3 linked regions of the Cricetulus griseus genome follow. The protein of the gene in region 1 purifies or fractionates together with the protein of each later gene. This does not show direct contact. Links are inferred from orthologs where the notes say so. Each region holds a gene or a part of one and is shown in the gene's direction. Other genes may lie near its edges.

The links.
Region 2: the proteins of Sox2 (region 1) and Ctnnb1 purify together in Homo sapiens (affinity purification with mass spectrometry; 3 studies listed by BioGRID and IntAct, with this or other methods). This does not show direct contact. The link is inferred for Cricetulus griseus from reciprocal best matches to the Homo sapiens genes SOX2 and CTNNB1.
Region 3: the proteins of Sox2 (region 1) and Hnrnpa3 purify together in Homo sapiens (affinity purification with mass spectrometry; 3 studies listed by BioGRID and IntAct, with this or other methods). This does not show direct contact. The link is inferred for Cricetulus griseus from reciprocal best matches to the Homo sapiens genes SOX2 and HNRNPA3.

Annotation. Positions count from the first base shown.
Region 1 is NW_023276806.1:114,823,836-114,827,586, reverse strand, and holds the start of Sox2 (transcription factor SOX-2), read left to right. Parts: upstream 1-1,429; 5' UTR 1,430-1,735; coding exon 1,736-2,695; 3' UTR 2,696-3,751. UniProt on the Homo sapiens protein: Transcription factor that forms a trimeric complex with OCT4 on DNA and controls the expression of a number of genes involved in embryonic development such as YES1, FGF4, UTF1 and ZFP206. Binds to the proximal enhancer region of NANOG.
Region 2 is NC_048597.1:228,017,460-228,019,873, forward strand, and holds the end of Ctnnb1 (catenin beta-1), read left to right. Parts: intron 1-512; coding exon 513-721; 3' UTR 722-733; exon of another isoform or gene 734-1,152; 3' UTR 1,153-1,773; downstream 1,774-2,414. UniProt on the Homo sapiens protein: Key downstream component of the canonical Wnt signaling pathway.
Region 3 is NC_048599.1:99,409,975-99,413,725, reverse strand, and holds the start of Hnrnpa3 (heterogeneous nuclear ribonucleoprotein A3), read left to right. Parts: upstream 1-1,015; 5' UTR 1,016-1,094; coding exon 1,095-1,166; intron 1,167-3,275; coding exon 3,276-3,398; intron 3,399-3,482; coding exon 3,483-3,629; intron 3,630-3,707; coding exon 3,708-3,751. UniProt on the Homo sapiens protein: Plays a role in cytoplasmic trafficking of RNA. Binds to the cis-acting response element, A2RE. May be involved in pre-mRNA splicing.

The DNA of each region.
Region 1 (3,751 bases):
GCCTGCCGATTGAAATCTTTACGTATGGACAATGGGAGATCGGCTAAAATTACCCTCTCGGGTCTTGGGCGGGCAAGATTCTTGAGCCCCTACCCCCGCCCCGGCCCATCATCCTCCAGCAGCCTGGGATTGCTGGGGCCCGGCTCCCGGGGTTCCGCAGGCCTTATCCCTACACACTTGGCTTGCACCTGTACCTCTGAACCCCGCGCGCCTCCCAGGCCCCAGTGCTTCCCTAAACCAACTCGGCCGGGCCTTCACGGCTACCACCGTGCCAGTCAGCAGGGGCAATGCCGGCAGCGCAGCTCCCATCCTGGGAACGCTGCGTGGGAGGGAGTTTGTGAGCACAGCCCAAATGCCACCTCTGTGCCTCACGGTAGGATGCCAGGAAGTTGCGTGACCCTCCCCCCATCGCTGCACTCTGGAGTCTCTTTCTGTTGATTCTTTCGTCCCCAGGCTCTCATCTGAAACTGCCACCACTGAAATCCTCCTGTGTCGGGGGGTGGGGGTTAGAAAGAGAGTGGGAGGAGAGTTCAAGCTTTGCCTTTGCACCCTCTGGATGGGACAGACTGGTGGAGGAGGGAGTTAGGGTTGAGGACACGTGCTGCGGTTCCTTAAACCACACCTGAGTCAGGCTAGAAGACTGTGAACAAGGCCTGTCCCTAGCTCTGCTCTTCAGTGGGCCAAAAAGGCAGAGGACTTTTGTTTGGGAACCAAGCAGATGACGTGGAAGTCAGGAGGGCACTGGGGCCCGAGGCTTGGGTCTAACTTCTTGTCTGTACTGTGAGATGAGGGGGTTAGGGGGTGTTGGCACCAAGGTAGGAAGAGGGGCTGGAACCGAGAGCAGTGCCTCGGATGAGCGGAGGAACAATGGCACACCACCTCCGGCCCTGCCAGCTTCCTGAAATACTAGTTGGACGGTCGCCCTGAACCACCCATGGGCCCTGCCCCACCCTGGCCCCAGCTCCCCGCGCCCCATCCTCCCTTATGTACCCAAGAGGGAGCCAATATTCCGTAGCAAGGGGGGAAGGAGCTGTCGTCTTGGTGCTGTTTACCCACTTCCTTCGAACAGGCGTGCGCCGTGACCTGTTGCTGAGGAAGGGGGATACAAAGGTTCCCCCGCGGCCGGCTGCAGGCTGCGGGCCCGCCTCCCCCGCGCGGCTCTGGGCACAGCGCTCTGCTGGGCTCGGCTCGGCGGCGCGGCAGGCCCCGCCCCCTTTCATGCAAAACCCTCTGGCGAGGCTGGGCTCCGGCGCAGGAGCCGGCGCTTGCTGATTGGCCGCCGGAAACCCATTTATTCCCTGACAGCCCCCATCACATGGATGGTTGTCTATTAACTTGTTCAAAAAAGTATCAGGAGTTGTCAAGGCAGAGAAGAGAGTGTTTGCAAAAAGGGAAAAGTACTTTGCTGCCTCTTTAAGACTAGGGCTGGGAGAAAGAAGAGGAGAAAGAAAGGAGAGAAGTTTGGAGCCCGAGGCTTAAGCCTTTCCAAAAACTAATCACAACAATCGCGGCGGCCCGAGGAGGAGAGCGTCTGTTTTTTCATCCCAATTGCACTTCGCCCGTCTCGAGCTCCGCTTCCCCCCAACTATTCTCCGCCCGATCTCCGCGCAGGCCGTGCACGCCGACACCCCCGCCCGCGGCCCCTGCAGCCCGGCCCCCGCGCGCGGCCCCCGCAGTCCCGGCCGGGCCGAGGGTCGGCGGCCGCCGGCGGGCCGCGCCCGCGCCCAGCGCCCGCATGTATAACATGATGGAGACGGAGCTGAAGCCGCCGGGCCCGCAGCAAGCTTCGGGGGGCGGCGGCGGAGGAGGCAACGCCACGGCGGCACCGACCGGCGGCAACCAGAAGAACAGCCCGGACCGCGTCAAGAGGCCCATGAACGCCTTCATGGTGTGGTCCCGGGGGCAGCGGCGTAAGATGGCCCAGGAGAACCCCAAGATGCACAACTCGGAGATCAGCAAGCGCCTTGGCGCCGAGTGGAAACTTTTGTCGGAGACCGAGAAGCGGCCGTTCATCGACGAGGCCAAGCGGCTGCGCGCTCTGCACATGAAGGAGCACCCGGATTATAAATACCGGCCGCGGCGGAAAACCAAGACGCTCATGAAGAAGGATAAGTACACGCTTCCCGGAGGGCTGCTGGCCCCGGGCGGGAACAGCATGGCGAGCGGGGTTGGGGTGGGCGCCGGCCTGGGCGCTGGTGTGAACCAGCGCATGGACAGCTACGCGCACATGAACGGCTGGAGCAATGGCAGCTACAGCATGATGCAGGAGCAGCTGGGCTACCCGCAACACCCGGGCCTCAACGCGCACGGCGCGGCGCAGATGCAGCCCATGCACCGCTACGACGTCAGCGCCCTGCAGTACAACTCCATGACCAGCTCTCAGACCTACATGAACGGCTCGCCCACCTACAGCATGTCCTACTCGCAGCAGGGCACCCCCGGTATGGCGCTGGGTTCCATGGGCTCGGTGGTCAAGTCCGAGGCCAGCTCCAGCCCCCCCGTGGTTACCTCTTCCTCCCACTCCAGGGCGCCCTGCCAGGCCGGGGACCTCCGGGACATGATCAGCATGTACCTCCCCGGCGCCGAGGTGCCGGAGCCCGCTGCTCCCAGTAGACTGCACATGGCCCAGCACTACCAGAGCGGCCCGGTGCCCGGCACGGCCATTAACGGCACACTCCCCCTGTCGCACATGTGAGGGCCGGAGCGCGAACTGAGAAAGGGAGAGATTTTCAAAGAGAAACAAGGGAATTGGGAGGGGTGCAAAAGAGGAGAGTAAGAAAAATCTGACATGCTCAAAGAAAGAAAAAAAATCTCATTACCCGCAGTCAAATGACAGCTGCGGAAAAGACCACCAATCCCATCCAAATTAACGCAAAAACCGTGTTGCCGACTAGAAAACTTTTATGAGAGATTTTGGGACTTCTTTTTGGGGGACTATTTTTGTACAGAGAAAACCTGAGGGCGGCCGGGAGGGAGGGGTAATCGGACCATGTATAGATCTGGAGAAAGAAACTACGCAAAACTTTTTTTTTTAAAAGTTCTAGTGGTATGTTAGGCGCTTCGCAGGGAGTTTGCAAAAGTCTTTACCAGTAATATTTAGAGCTAGACTCCGAGCGACGGAAAAAAAAGTTTTAATATTTGCAAGCAACTTTTGTACAGTATTTATCGAGATAAACATGGCAATCAAATGTCCATTGTTTATAAGCTGAGAATTTGCCAATATTTTTCGAGGAAAGGGTTCTTGCTGGGTTTTGATTCTGCAGCTTAAATTTAGGACCGTTACAAACAAGGAAGAAAGAAATTTATTCGGATTTGAACATTTTAGTTTTAAAATTGTACAAAAGGAAAACTTGAGAGCAAATACTGGCAAGACTATTTTCTTGGTCTTGTTTAAAAAGGGCAAATGTTCTAGATTGTACTAAATTTTTAACTTACTGTTAAAGGCAAAAAAAAAAAATGTCCATGCAGGTTGATATCGTTGGTAATTTATAAAAGCTTTTGTTCAGTCCCACCTTTCCATTTTGTTCAGATAAAAGAATATGGAATTACTGTGTTTGGAATATTTTCTTATGGTTTGTAATATTTCTGTAAATTTATTGTGATATTTTAAGTTTTTTTCCCCTTTTATTTTCCGTAGTTGTATTTTAAAAGATTCGGCTCTGTTATTGGAATCAGGCTGCCGAGAATCCATGTATATATTTGAACTAATACCACCATCCTTATAACAGCTACATTTTCAACTTAAGTTTTT
Region 2 (2,414 bases), on another chromosome or scaffold:
AAGCTTTCATCCACGAGCTGGTCTACTCGTCTGAGAGCCTGGGCCTGGGGGAAGTGGTAGCTGTACTTGAAGGTGGTCCCTGAATTCCAAAGTTGCAGTATCATACTTTTGTCTTAGAGGGAGGGGTCTAGGATGGGTGGTTCATAGCTGGTCCATCAGAGCCTTCTGGACCCAGATTTGAGCAGCATAAGGTACTGCTGCCATCACCCCATCCTGGAGGCTTTATCCAAGGAACTGTTGGAGCTCTCTGGCTCCTCGTCTGCACGGTCATACGCAGTTTGCCTGCCAGGTAGGCCTCAGTCTGCTGAGTGCGCCACACGCAGGAAGTCAGGCACAGTGAACTGCTGCAGGTGTGTGGTAGTCTCTGGAGCTCTTGGAAAGCCTGGTGTTGTGTAATTACTTGGAAGAGGAGACTAGAAAGCATGTTCCTGGCAAGGTGTCCTAAACATGGCTAACCCGTCTGTCTGTCTGTCTCTCTCCTTTGCCTGTCTTGGGCGCGCTGACTCTTCCAGATCCCAGCTACCGTTCCTTTCACTCTGGTGGATACGGCCAGGATGCCTTGGGGATGGACCCTATGATGGAGCATGAGATGGGTGGCCACCACCCTGGTGCTGATTATCCAGTTGATGGGCTGCCAGACCTGGGGCATGCCCAGGACCTCATGGACGGGCTGCCCCCAGGTGACAGCAATCAGCTGGCCTGGTTTGACACTGACCTGTAAATCGACCTTTAGGTAAGCAGCTTATAAAAGCCAGTGTGGGTGAAGTACTTTACTCTGCCTACAGAACTCCAGAAAGACTTGGTGGGGTGGGAATGGTTTTAGGCCTGTTTGTAAATCTGCCACAAAACAGATACATACCTTGGAAGGAGATGTCCATGTGTGGAAGTTTTTCACTTTGATGTTTTTGCCACAGCTTTTGCAGCGTTACACTCAAGACGAGTAACATTTGCTGTTCTCAACATTAATTAATAGCAGCCTTTCTCTCTGTACAGCTGCATTGTCTGAACTTGCATTGTGATTGGCCTGTAGAGTTGCTGAGAGGGCTCGAGGGGTGGGCTGGTATCTCAGAAAGTGCCTGACACACTAACCAAGCTGAGTTTCCTATGGGAACAGTCGAAGTAAACTTTTTGTTCTGGTCCTTTTTGGTCGAGGAGTAACAATACAAATGGATTTGGGGAGTGACTCACGCAGTGAAGAATGCACAGGAATGGATCACAAGATGGCGTTATCAAACCCTAGCCTTGCTTGTTTTTTTTTTTTTTTTTTTTCTTTTGTTTTTATTTTTTGTTTTTTATTTTTTTTAATATCTGTAATGGTACTGACTTTGCTTGCTTTGAAGTAGCTCTTATTTTTTTGCAGTAACTGTTAGTTTTAAGTCTTGTAGTGTTATGTTCTAGTGAACCTGCTACAGCGATTCCTGATTTCTGAGAACTGAGTAATGGTGTAGAACACTAATTCATAATCACGCTAATCGTAATCTGGAGACGTGTAACATTGTGTAGCCTTTTGTATAAATAGACAGATAGAAATGGTCCGATTAGTTTCCTTTTTAATATGCTTAAAATAAGCAGGTGGATCTATTTCATGTTTTTGAACAAAAACTTTATTGGGGATATGTGCGGTAGGGTAAATCAGTAAGAGGTGTTATTTGAGCCTTGTTTTGGACAGTTTACCAGTTGCCTTTTATCCCAAAGTTGTTGTAACCTGCTGTGATACAATGCTTCAAGAGATACGGTTATAAAAATGGTTCAGAATTAAACTTTTAATTCATTCGCTTGTGTCACTTTGGTTTGTCCCGAGATGGTTGTTGAGGTTCGAGGAGGGGGAGTGCTTGTTCCTTCTCCAGCATCCCACCAGAGGAAGGAAGTGCATGTGTGCCAGTACCAAAGGGTTATTTATTAGTTTTAGCTCACCCTTCTTGCCTAAGAACCTAGCAGGCTTCCTGCAGTAGTCTCTGTGTTACACTGAGCAGTCACTAAAGCTGGACCCCGAATAAGCCTCCCTTTGGACAGTGTCCGTCCCACTGAGCAGTAAGGAAGCACTGCCTGGATTTGTATCAAGCATCATTGCGAGTGTGGCTCACTTGGAGAGGGCAATCTTTTCACGCCTTTGAACCAGTAATTATGTTTAAATGCTTGTGTTTATCTGAACACAATCAGAACCAGAGTGGGCTGCCTTCCGAGTGGCCTGCCAGAGCTGGCCTGGTGGTGGGTCTGATCAGCAGGCATTGTACATTTCTCACACAGACCTGTTAGCCAGCATTCCAGCCCTGTGAGGGAGGCCCTCGAAGAGATGCCAGGTAGGGGTAAGGTAACAAGGCAAGAACTGATCCCAGAAAGCAGTGCACTGGCCCCCACAAGTGCACTAGGAAGGGCATGCACGGGTTTTCAAAAGGAGAGACTCAAAGATGTAC
Region 3 (3,751 bases), on another chromosome or scaffold:
AAATCCCTTTGCCAGGCCGAGAAAGGATTCGATTTCTATTTCATTTATGTGCTTCACAATAAAACTTCAAACAGCTGTCATTTTAAAAAGACACTAGTAAAAGACAGCCTATCTGGCCACCAAACCTTTTTAGATAGTTTGGAGCCAGGCGTTAGTTTGCACACGCCTTTAATCCCAGCACTCCGGAGGCAGAGGCAGGTGGATCTCTGTGAGTTCGAGGCCAGGCTGATCTTCAAAGTGAGTTCCAGGGTAGCCTCCAAACCTCTGAGAAACCCTGTCTCGAACCCCCCCCCCAATAAATAAGTAAATAAAAACAAAGAAAGAAAAAAAGAAACTTTGGAAATGGCTCCATTCTCTAAAATTCTGTGCCCTAAACAAACGATTCCGTTCCTTCCCCCCAGATTGATAAAAATCTTAATTCTTTAACTCTGAGAGTCGCCTATAGAGAGTCTCATCCAGTCAGCCGCATTTTCCCGCCCGTGCGACGTGCGGGACTTAGGAACGTCAGTGCCGCAGGGCTTGCAGCGTGGGCCTCCCAAGGGGACGGCGCCGTCACACTCTGCACACCTCGGGCCCCCAACATTTAGATTCCGCGAGGGAGGCAAAGGGGTCCGCAGGCTTTCTGGCAACCTTAAGTCGCAGGACAGAAAAGCGTGCTCTTCCTTCCGGCACTGCAATAGGGTGAACTGGGAAATGGAGACCCAAAAGCGCGCGGGGAGGGGCGAGAGGCGCCAAAAAGAAAGGGAATAGGCCTTTCTCTGGGCGGACGCGCGGTCACGCGGCTTTCTCCCGACGTGGGCGCTTGCCATTGGTCGAGCTGCCGCTGACGTACCTGACGTTGCCTGGCGCGAACCGCGGCGAGGGCGGCGCTGCGTTGGAAGTTGGTGAGGCGCGCGCGCTCCCGCGGCTCGACCAATCCGGACCCGCCGCTCTCGGCCCGCCAACCCGCCCGTCCAGTCGCGCTCCGCTTAGGCGTGACTCCGCCCCCGAGGGGCGGGCGGCGCGCGGAAAGCGCGTCACGTGATGACTAGCCCCGCCTCTTCCTCTCGGTCCCATATTGAACTCGAGTTGGAAGAGGCGAGTCCGGTCTCAAAATGGAGGTAAAACCGCCGCCCGGTCGCCCCCAGCCTGACTCCGGCCGTCGCCGCCGCCGCCGGGGGGAGGAGGTATTAGGGGGAGAGCGGGGGGTTGCTGGGTAGTTGCCGGCGTGGGGGGGCTTTGGCTCGATGGGAGCGGGGAGGCCGGGGGAAACCGGGACGATCGTCCCGCGCTCTGCGCTGAGAGGGCGGTGGGAGGGGGAGGGGAGCGGGCCTAGCGGCCCCATCGAGGCCCTCGGTCGGCCTGGCCCTCTCGGTCGGCCGCACCAGCAGCCCTCGGAGACGCGGCGCGGCCGGGGAGGTGGTCCGCGGCCGGGCGAGGATCCCGAGGCCTGCGCGGCCTGACTGGCGAGGCCGCGGGCGGCATGGCGGGCCTCCGCGGGAGCGGTTGGGAGGAGGCGGTGGGGGAGGGGAGGAGCACATCCGGGCGAGCGAGCGAGCAGGCGGGCGGCGGCCACATTGACATTGATCCGCTGCCGCGTTACGAAATGGCGCATTGGCCCGCAATGGCCGCCGCCTGGTTACGCCGCCAAGGAGGAGTGCGTGGGATTGGAGGGAGCGGCGAGAGGCGGCCGGGCATTTTGCCGCAGATGGCCTCGAGCCTCGGGGCGCGGTGCTTTCCGCTGGGGTGCTGCCTGCGCGTATCTGGGCCTTCGGGCCTCCTCGGTGACGGCAATCCGCGCAGATCTCCGGCCGGATTTTCTCACCGTTGATTTGGGGATACATTACTGAAATGCTTGCTGCTTTGAGGTGCTTCCTAACCCGCTAGTTTCGCTCAAGTGTTTGGAATGAAAGTGCTTATGGCGTCTGGTGGTTGAAGGATTAACCATTTCAAGGATTTGCGTGTAGATAAGTGCTAATTTGGAGCTTAATATCTTACCGATTTAATTTCTCGTGGATTGGCACCGGTTGTGGTTTCCTGGATTTTGGTTTTAGAGAACTTCGACCACAGTCAAAATTTCACGACTACGAGGATTTTTTTGTGTGTACGGAGATGTTGTTTTTGTGTATTGTCAATTGCGTTCATCCGAGGCTTGAATAAATGGGACTACGTGAATTAAAACTTTGGGCAGTTGATCATTTAACGTGTTTCTAGTATGTGGCAGTATTTAAGTATTGAATGCTTTAATTACTACTTTAGAAGATTGAAGAAGTTTTTAAATGTGATTGTGAGTCTCCTTTAAGGATTTGTGTTGCATTGTTTTAGTGCGTGCATTAAAAGCAATTCATTTGAATGTTAAAACCTTCCAAATGAAAAATTCATACCAGATATTCTAAGTCAATACGGTTTTGTGCTTACTTCCTTGGGCAGATGGTATATGCTATATGTGACAAATTCAAATTATATACTTGTGAATATCGGTGTACTGTTTGAAATCATTTAACTATATGATGTAAATGGGCATCCACCAAGTTAAATTGATTACAGAAAGCTAAGTAGTGCAACTAGGTGTAATGATGTACACCTGTTACCCTAGCACGTGGAAGGCTGAAGTAGGACTGCCTCAAGGCCCAGTCTTGCCTAGCCTGTCCTTGAGAACCTCCCTCAGCAGCTCCCCTCTCAAAGCACTACGGGCCTAATCTTATCGCTGATTTGTATTGTTCTTGTGGGATATGCCTAGGAATGTCTTAGATAACTGATGTGCTGGAAATCTGAATCTCTCTCAATTTGCCACTCCAAACTTTTTAAGTTGCATTTCACAGATTGTGTTTTAAAATACGGGTTTGTTGCTGTTCCAGACTGAGGATAGTGAAAATGGCATGGGTTGAATAATGCTGACTCCTGGGTTCTTTTTTGTTGTGAATGACTTGTTACACACATCTGAAATACACCCCTAACATACACTTGTAGCTTTCAAAAAGTTATTTTTTACTCTGGGATTGTTTTGGGGTTCAGTTTAGTTACATAATGTTTAAAGTGACCCGGGGTACCATTGTAGTGGGGTTTTTTTGTTTTTAAGGCAACAACCCACCCTCTACATACTTAATAATGGCTAGGAACTGGATACATAGTCCAGGCTAGCCTCTGCCTCAAACGCTGAAATTAACTGGTGTGTATTATCATGCCCAGCGTAGAGAGCAGATTTTTAATTGGGAGTATTAATGATAGAAATTTTGAGACTCTTGTAACAATTTGCTTCAAGAAAAAATAAAACTGTATCGATCTTTTTTTCTCAGGGCCATGATCCAAAGGAACCAGAACAGTTGAGGAAGCTGTTTATTGGTGGTCTGAGCTTTGAAACCACAGATGATAGCTTAAGAGAACATTTTGAGAAATGGGGCACACTTACAGACTGTGTGGTGAGTCCTTGGGGTGAGGATTGTCTTAGGAAGGGATGGGGACCTATGAGACTATTTAAATACTTTCATTTGTTTATTTTATAGGTAATGAGAGACCCCCAAACAAAACGTTCCAGGGGCTTTGGTTTTGTGACCTACTCTTGTGTTGAAGAGGTGGATGCTGCAATGTGTGCTCGGCCACACAAGGTTGATGGGCGTGTGGTGGAACCAAAGAGAGCTGTTTCCAGAGAGGTATTTTAATAACATGTTGTATAATGCATGGAACTGTGAGAGTTTGGTTTTTTTGACTTAAAATTATTTTATTTGCAGGATTCTGTAAAGCCTGGCGCCCATTTAACAGTGAAGAAAATTTT